Linked DNA regions of Macaca mulatta. The protein of the gene in region 1 interacts with the protein of each later gene in a biochemical or structural test. Links are inferred from orthologs where the notes say so. Each region holds a gene or a part of one and is shown in the gene's direction. Other genes may lie near its edges. The genes, in order: PTGES3 and HSF1.

Region 1 (3,805 bases):
TTTGTTTTTTGTTTGTTTTTGTTTTTTGAGACTACTGCAGTGCAATGGTGCAATCCTGGCTCACTGTAACCTCTGCCTCCTAGGTTCAAGGGATTTTCCTGCCTCAGCCTCTGGAGCAGCTGGGATTACAGGCCCATGCCACCACACCTGGCTAATTTTTGTGTTTTTAGTAAAGACCATGTTGGTTAGGCTAGTCTCAAACTCCTGACCTCAGGTGTTCGCCTGCCTCGGCCTCCCAAAGTGCTAGGATTACAGGCATGAGCCACCGCCCGTGGCCAAGGCTTCCTTTATCTGAGAATAGAATCTTTTTTTTTTTTTTTTTTGAGACGGAGTCTCGCTCTGTCGCCCAGGCTGGAGTGCAGTGGCCGGATCTCAGCTCACTGCAAGCTCTGCCTCCCGGGTTCACGCCATTGTCCTGCCGCAGCCTCCCAAGTAGCTGGGACTACAGGCGCCTGCTACCTTGCCTGGCTAGTTTTTTGTATTTTTCAGTAGAGACGGGGTTTTACCGTGTTAGCCAGGATGGTCTCGATCTGCTGACCTCGTGATCCGCCCGTCTCGGCCTCCCAAAGTGCTGGGATTACAGGCTTGAGCCACCATGCTGGCCCAAGAACAGAATATTTAAACCATTCTGTGGCTATATCATTTTTAGTTAAAGTTTTTAAGGTTTTATTCTGTTTACCATGTGCAGGAAAGAAAAAAATGGTATCAGGTTAAACGTGAAACTTTGTTGTAGTACAGGTTATTTCAGTAGGAAATATAAGGGAAAAAATAAAATTTTTAAAAAATGACAGTTATAGTGGTTTGGGGCAATTGGATAATTTGAAGTTTTTAGTAGTCAAGGGCATGTTTCTTTCAGAGTCCAGAGAAAATTTAGGTAAAGAAATGAAAAAGGTGAGAAATGACAAGCTACTTTCTGTCATGTAGCGATACTGGAAAGATAAATGGTATGATGGTCCTTTTGTTTTTAGGATTCCAAGCATAAAAGAACGGACAGATCAATTTTATGCTGTTTACGAAAAGGAGAATCTGGCCAGTCATGGCCAAGGTTAACAAAAGAAAGGGCAAAGGTAGGTTTCGTTTTCCTTTTTTGAAAAGTTTGATGTTTTTATTGTAGGTAATAAAAGATACACTTATTTGATGTAAGGAATATACTGCTGTGTTTTTGTTTCACAGCTAAGTATAAAGCCTCATGTTCATGTTTTTTGTCTACTCAGTTTTAACTTAATACGAAGTGTGATTAGAATATCAGTTATTAACTGGTGTAGAATCTTTTGCACTTAAGAGATAGACTTTGCATAAATTACTCAGCTATCAAATGGGAGGGGACAAAGCTTGGTGAAAAAGTAAATTAATCAACTGAAAATAGTTCTTACTAGTAAATTTGTTTTCAAAAGGTGTGTTTAACAATTTTCAGTGTTTTTTTTTTCAAAACCAGGGTCTCTCTTTGTTACCCAGGCTGGAGTGCAGTGACACGATCTCGGCTCACTGCAGCCTCAGCTTCCCAGGCTCCAAGTGATCCTCCCCGCTCTGTCCCCCAAGTAGCTTGGACTGCAGGGGCATGCCATGACACCTGGCTCATTTTTGTATTTTTTGTAGAGAAGGGGTATCACAATCTTGCTCAGATTGCTCTTGAACTTCTAGGCTCAAGCAATCTCCCCACCTCAGCTTCCCAAAGTGCTGGTACTATAGGCATGAGCCACCACACTTACCTAATTTTTTTTTTTTTTTTTTTAAGATAGTCTCATGCCACTCATGCGAGAGTGCAGTGGTGTGAACATGGCTCACTGCAGCCTCCACCTGGGCTTAAGCGATCCTCCCACCCACCTCAGCTTCCCAAATAGCTAGGATTATAGGAATGTGCCACCACGCCCAGGAACTTTGTTTTTTTGTTTTTTCCCCAGATACAGGATACACTATTGCTCAGGCTGTCTCGAACTCCTGAAGGATTACACAACCAATCTTTCCACCGTGGCCGCCCAAAGTGTTGGGGTTACAGGTGTAAGCCACCCCATTTAGCTTAGTCTATTCTTTGTGTGCTAATTACATGCCCTCATAAAAATACAAAGTCGCAGTTCAAAAAATGTTGTTTTGCCAGGGACCAGTAGCCATGTGGTGCCTGTTGTAGTTAAAAGCGACGCTGGAGGGTGAAGTGGGAGAATTACTTGCGCCCAATTCTGGGTTGCAATGCCATATGTCAGTCAGGTAACCATGCTAAGTTAACATCAGTATGGTGGTGTCCCAGGAAGCGGGGACCACCAGGTTGCTTGAAGAGTTAACAAGACCCTTGATCAGAAATGGAGCTGATCAAAACTCACATTGATCAATAATGGGATTGCACCTGTGAATGCTTGCTGCACTCCAGCCTGGACAACACAGCAAGACTTGGTCTCTTTAGAAGAAAAGAAAATGCAGTCTTAAGGTTCATGCCAAATGCAAATTAACCTAACCTTAGGGTGATGTTTGTATTGATTTATAGCTTAATTGGCTTAGTGTCGACTTCAATAATTGGAAAGACTGGGAAGATGATTCAGATGAAGACATGTCTAATTTTGATCGTTTTTCTGAGGTAAGTTCCATTAAATGGATGTCTCCCCACTCGAAGTACACAGTACCTGTCTGTAGTCAATTTAATTTGGTTTTGGGCACATATTCATGATGCGTGTTATTTTTAAGACCATTTTAATGATTTTAAAAGGAATCAGTGTTAACTGCAAAAGTTAATGTATTAAGACTAACACAGCTAGTTTGCTAATTTCCTAATTTCATCATTGGGATTTTTTTTTTTTTTTTTTTTTTTTTAAAGCATGATTGCAGTAGTTGACTTGGATTTTGAAGCCATAAAATAAAACTATAAACTTTTGCCGGGCGCGGTGGCTCAAGCCTGTAATCCCAGCACTTTGGGAGGCCGAGACGGGCGGATCACGAGGTCAGGAGATCGAGACCATCCTGGCTAATATGGTGAAACCCCGTCTCTACTAAAAATACAAAAAACTAGCTGGGCGAGGTGGTGGGCGCCTGTAGTCCCAGCTACTCTGGAGGCTGAGGCAGGAGAATGGCGTAAACTCGGGAGGCGGAGCTTGCAGTGAGCTGAGATCCGACCACTGCACTCCAGCCTGGGCGACAAAGCGAGACTCCGTCTCAAAAAAAAAAAAAAACTTTTGACCAGGCGCTTTGGGAGGAGGCCAGCACTTTGGGAGGCCAAGGCTGGCGGATCACGAGGTCAGGAGATCCAGACCATACTGGCCAACATGGTGAAACCCCGTCTCTACTAAAATACAAAAAAAATAAGCTGGGCGTGGTGGCGTGTCCCTGTGGTCCCACCTACTCCTGAGGCTGAGGCATGGGAATTGCTTGAACCCTGGAGGCAGAGGTTGCAGTGAGCTGAGATCGTGCCACTGGACTCCAGTCTGGCGAAAGAGCGGGACTTGGTCTAAAAAATATGACTATAAACTTTTAAACACAAGAATCATAGGCTGGGTGCGGTGGCTTATGCCTGTAATCCCAGCACTTTGGGAAGCTGAGGCGGGCGAATCACGAGGTCAGGAGTTCCAGACCAGCCTGACCAACATGGCAAAACCTCCCCTCTACTAAAAATACAAAAATTAGCTGGGTGTGGTGGCGTGCGCCTGTAATGCCAGCTACTCAGAAGGCTGAGGCAGGAGAATCGTGTGAACCCAGGAGGTGGAGGTTGCAGTAAGCCGTGATCGCTCCACTGCACTCCAGCCTGGGCGACAGAGCAAGATTCCATCTCAAAAAAAATAAATAAATAGGGCTGGGCATGTGACTCACACCTGTAATCCCAGCA
Region 2 (4,453 bases), on another chromosome or scaffold:
CGACCTGGATGTATTAGCTATTGCATACTGAGTGTTCACACAATGCCTCTCTCACACAGTCATGATGTGTCTTGGTACTCAGTCAGCTACACAACCACAATAACTAGTGGAAATGGCATGCATGGCCTGAGCACAAACAACTGGCTCCTGAAGAGCATTTAACTCAAGGGTGCAAGCAGCAGAACCTGGCGCCTAGAGCGGCCTGCGGGCCGTTCAGCCCATGGGAACCAGGATTAGTTGAGTTCGCTTCACAAAGCAATGGGGCAGTTTCAACAACCCAACGCGGCCGAGGGGGCTGTGAGAGGCTGGCTGTCCATTCCCTCCACCACCCAATTTGACGATCCCCACAACCAAGACGGGGCTGAGCTGGCAGAGGGCAACAGTGAGTTCTGATACAACAAACGCAGCAGACTCTGGGTTCTATTCAGGTTTTCTTATTCTCACGTCTATCCCATGAGCATAAAAACGTGATTAACTAGCGCATAAGTAGGTTAAGCATTTACTGGGGGCGCAAGCCGAGCCCTTTTACTGGCAGGACGCACAAATGGAACGGCCGGAGAGGCTGCTGCAAGGGGCGCTTATCCCCACTCCCTGCACCCCCGTTTCTTTGCTTCCCGGACGCCGTCCTTCACCCTGCAGTCTGCTCTGCCTAAGACCCCCCGATAGAGGAGCTGCGCCCACGCCCAAGGCCGATTCACTGGGCACGGGCGCCCAGGTGACAGCAGCCGGGCCCACCCGCCCCAGCGCGGCCACGTGCCCGCTGGGCCTTCTAGGGACGCGCCTCGCCGCCCCGCATTGCCGCAGTCACCTCTGGCTCGGGCTCAGGCTCCAGTTCGGGCTCCGACCGCCGCTTCTCCGGCCGCACGCTTGGCGCCGCCGTGCGCCCCGTGCCCCGCGAACCCGCCATGTCCCGCCGCGCGCCGGCCGCGACCCGAACAGCCGCTTCCGGCAGTGACACGGCCGCGTGCGCAGGAGGACGCGCCCCGCCCAGCCCGGCCCCGATTGGCGGGCGGGGGGGGGGCGGGACCAACACGCGCAGGCGCGCGGCGGGGCCGGGGGCCGGGGCGGGGTCGGGGCCTGCGTGCTCGCGCCGGGGGGGGACGCGAGAGGGCGGCAGCGGCGGCGGCAGCGGCGGGAGCGCGCCCGTTGCAAGATGGCGGCGGCCATGCTGGGCCTTGGGGCTGTGTGTGCGCAGCGGGCGGCGGCTCGGCCCGGACGGCTGGCGCGGCAACGGCGTTAGCCCGGCCCTCGGCCCCTCTTCGCGGCCGCTCCCTCCGCCTATTCCCGCCTTGCCCGAGATGGATCTGCCCGTGGGCCCCGGTGCGGCGGGGCCCAGCAACGTCCCGGCCTTCCTGACCAAGCTGTGGACCCTCGTGAGCGACCCGGACACCGACGCGCTCATCTGCTGGAGCCCGGTGAGGGCAGCGCGCGGGCGCGGGGCCCGTGGGGACCGGGAGGGAGCAGGGCCGCGGTGGACGGCGCGGGAGGGCTGCGGGGAGGGGCCCTGCCACACCTCGGCTTACGCGCGGGGAGCCTGCCCTGCCCCCGCCAGGAAGGGCGGCGGGTCCCGAGCCTGCCCAAACGCAGAGCCTTAAGTTGGGAAAGCGGCTGCGAGACCCACACCCGATTGAACCGCTGCCCCAGCGAAGTTTCCCTGGGATGGGAGAATGGGGCGTCCCTTGCATCGGGCTTCTGCTAACTGTTGGGCGGTTGCGGAAGTGTCCGCGCTTAGGGCAAGCACCCGGCTTCGCCAGCGGACGCTGTGCTCCAGAGGACATCGGCGTCCCCGGGGGACGGCCTACGGGGTGCTGGGTCGGCAACTATTCGGAGAAAGTCAGGACTTGGCACGTGAAGCGGAGGGCGTCGCTGTAGTGGAAAAGGAAAGGCAGTGGAAACAGAAAGTAAGACGTCATGAAGCTTCAGGTTAATCTCAAGCCCGTTTCCGAATCCCAAATCTGGGTTTCCCAGGAGGAGTTTTGTTTTTCATTCCTTGTGGGGCGTCTTTACTCGTGTCTTTATCTTCAGTTGCCTGGCAGCAGGCTTGTTTACACGGTCCGACCCTGCAAGACCGGACAGCTCCGGTTTGCAGAAGTAAATCAGTGATTGTCTGGAGTTGGAGATCAAAATCTGCTGTTCACATCCCGGCTGTGACGTCGTGTCCGGTGAGGGGCAGAGCCACAGCCTGTGGCTGGCAAGTGATGGCCTGAAGAAAGGCCACACTGGCCGAGCGGGGTGACTCTTTGCTGTGAAAGCAGCACTTTGGGAGGTGGCGGCGGGTAGATCACTTGAGGCCAGGAGTTCGAGACCAGCCAAGACAATATGGCAAAACCCCGACTCTACTAAAAATACAAAAAATTAGCCGGGCGTGGTGGTGCTTGCCTGTGGTCCTAGCTACTTGGGAGGCTGAGATAGGAGGATCCCCTGAACCTGGGAGGCAGAGGTTGCACTGAACCGAGATTCCACCACTGCACTCCAGCCTGGCAAAGAATGAGACCCTGTCTTAAGAAAAAAAAGAAAAAAGAAAGGCCACTGATCACTGGGAGCTTTTGGAGGGACCGTGACAGGCGGGATGCCACCAAGCATGTGTGGCCTCCCAGGAGCTAAGACCCCAGAGTTCCTCAGGCTCTGCTGAGGGCCTCCCATTTGCACAGCCTCTTTCTGCTGTTAGGAATGAAGAAAAGTCTGAACTGAAGCTGCTCCAGGCAGGAGGCCAGGCCTTCTGCTTCTCGGGTTTACTGAGGCCCTGCTTTACCTACAGAGTGTTTGGGAATAAAGAGAGGACTGGAAATCTTTGCTCTTTTCAGAAACACTTTGTATTTGTCCTGCTGACACCTCTGTCTGTGTCGGCCTTCCCATCCCCAAGTCCCATTACGGCGCAGTGCGCCTTCCTGCAGGCTGACTTCATTTCACCATCTCTTCATTCTAGACCTTGGCATTTTTGTGCAGAGGAAGTATTCCCATGTTTCTGTTTTCTTTTATCCGTCTTTCGTTTTCTTTCTTTCTTTTTTTTTTTTTTTTTTTTTTTTTGAGACGGCTTCTCGCTCTGTCACCCAGGTTGGAGTGCAGTGGTGCGATCTTGTCTCACTACGACCTCCACCTCCCAGGTTCAAGCAATTCTCCTGCCTCAGCCTCCCGAGTAGCCAGGACTACAGATGCACGCCACCACACCTGGCTGATTGTTGTATTTTTAGTAGAGACGGGGTTTCACCACATCAGCCAGCCTGGTCTGGAACTCCTGACCTCAAGTTATCCACCTGCCTTGGCCTCCCTAAGTGCTGGGATTACAGGTGTGAGCCACTGCACCCAGCCCTTCCTTCTTTTTCTTATTCCCCTTAACCCTCAGAAGTACTCTCTTGCCCCATTGGGGGAGGGGCATCTGAGATTATCTGGGATATTCTAAGCTTAATCCTACTAGCATGATCTGTCCTGTCCCATAATCTGCTTGCTGTTTCTGCTTAAAAGATTATGAGGCATGTGGGTTAGGTCCCAGTGTACTCTTTTTTGAGACCGAGGCATGTTCTGGGCAGGGCTTTTGAGCAAGGGAGGCAGATTTGATGAGGCCTGTGGCCAGCCTCCACTCTCCTCACAGGTGCACCACCTGTGGGCCTGTTCTCCCTGGGGAGGGATGGGGAGCCGTGTGGAATGTCAGTGTTTGGTTCCACCTGGTCAGTATAAAGTGGCAATGGTTGGTGCAGGATGTAGCAGTGGGGGCGAGCATGGCAATGAGATAGAAACACTGACTTCAAACTGGAAGGAAGCCCTTCTCCAGACTGTGCAGGGAGCTGCAGAGCTTTCTGGCGCTGGCTGCGTGGCCTGGAGAAAGGAGGTGATCGTCCCATCCTGTGGCTTTGAGAGCACTCACACAAGCCCTGAGGACTCCATGTCGGCAGAGTCCCAACAGGGGACCCTCCCACAAATCTACTGCCCAGGCCCAGCTGGCTCTCGGAGGCCTTGAGAAGGCCCTGGTGCTCTTGCTCTCTGCTGCCTTCTCTGGGACAGTCTCCTGGCTCAAAGTCTTACCACCATTCTGCCAAGAAAAACCCTCCCTGTTTGACACAAGAAGATGAGGCAGAATCACAGGCATGGTGACTAATTCTCCAGGCTGAATAACTTGGGGGAGACTGAGGCCCAGAAACTGGCCAGTGACTTTACTGAGCCTGGCCAGGAATGGGACCAGCTCTGGACAACCATTGCACTTCCCCTCCCTGGCCTGAGATCGGGACTCCCACTGCAGCCACTGGAGGCAGAATGCCGGGTCACTGTCCAGGAGAGCCCATTTGGTGGGGACTATGGCCCCATCCCTGTGGTGTTCGATTTCCCACCCCCCAGACCCTCATTCCCATGAGCACCCCACCCACACAGGCAGAGGCCTTGAGGGGACCCAGCAAGTCGTGGAGGACAGCACAGCCCCATCTGCCTTGGAGAGGAAACGTGTCAGCCACAAGGTTATGAT

Evidence for each region.
Region 2: the proteins of PTGES3 (region 1) and HSF1 form a complex in vitro, tested with the Homo sapiens proteins (2 studies listed by BioGRID). The link is inferred for Macaca mulatta from reciprocal best matches to the Homo sapiens genes PTGES3 and HSF1.

Annotation. Positions count from the first base shown.
Region 1 is NC_133416.1:63,842,684-63,846,488, reverse strand, and holds part of PTGES3 (prostaglandin E synthase 3), read left to right. Parts: intron 1-968; coding exon 969-1,067; intron 1,068-2,476; coding exon 2,477-2,566; intron 2,567-3,805. UniProt on the Homo sapiens protein: Cytosolic prostaglandin synthase that catalyzes the oxidoreduction of prostaglandin endoperoxide H2 (PGH2) to prostaglandin E2 (PGE2).
Region 2 is NC_133413.1:154,683,896-154,688,348, forward strand, and holds the start of HSF1 (heat shock factor protein 1), read left to right. Parts: upstream 1-1,652; 5' UTR 1,653-1,667; coding exon 1,668-1,901; intron 1,902-2,999; exon of another isoform or gene 3,000-4,453. Other genes in the region: ribosome biogenesis protein BOP1, read right to left, coding at 809-907. UniProt on the Homo sapiens protein: Functions as a stress-inducible and DNA-binding transcription factor that plays a central role in the transcriptional activation of the heat shock response (HSR), leading to the expression of a large class of molecular chaperones, heat shock proteins (HSPs), that protect cells from cellular insult damage.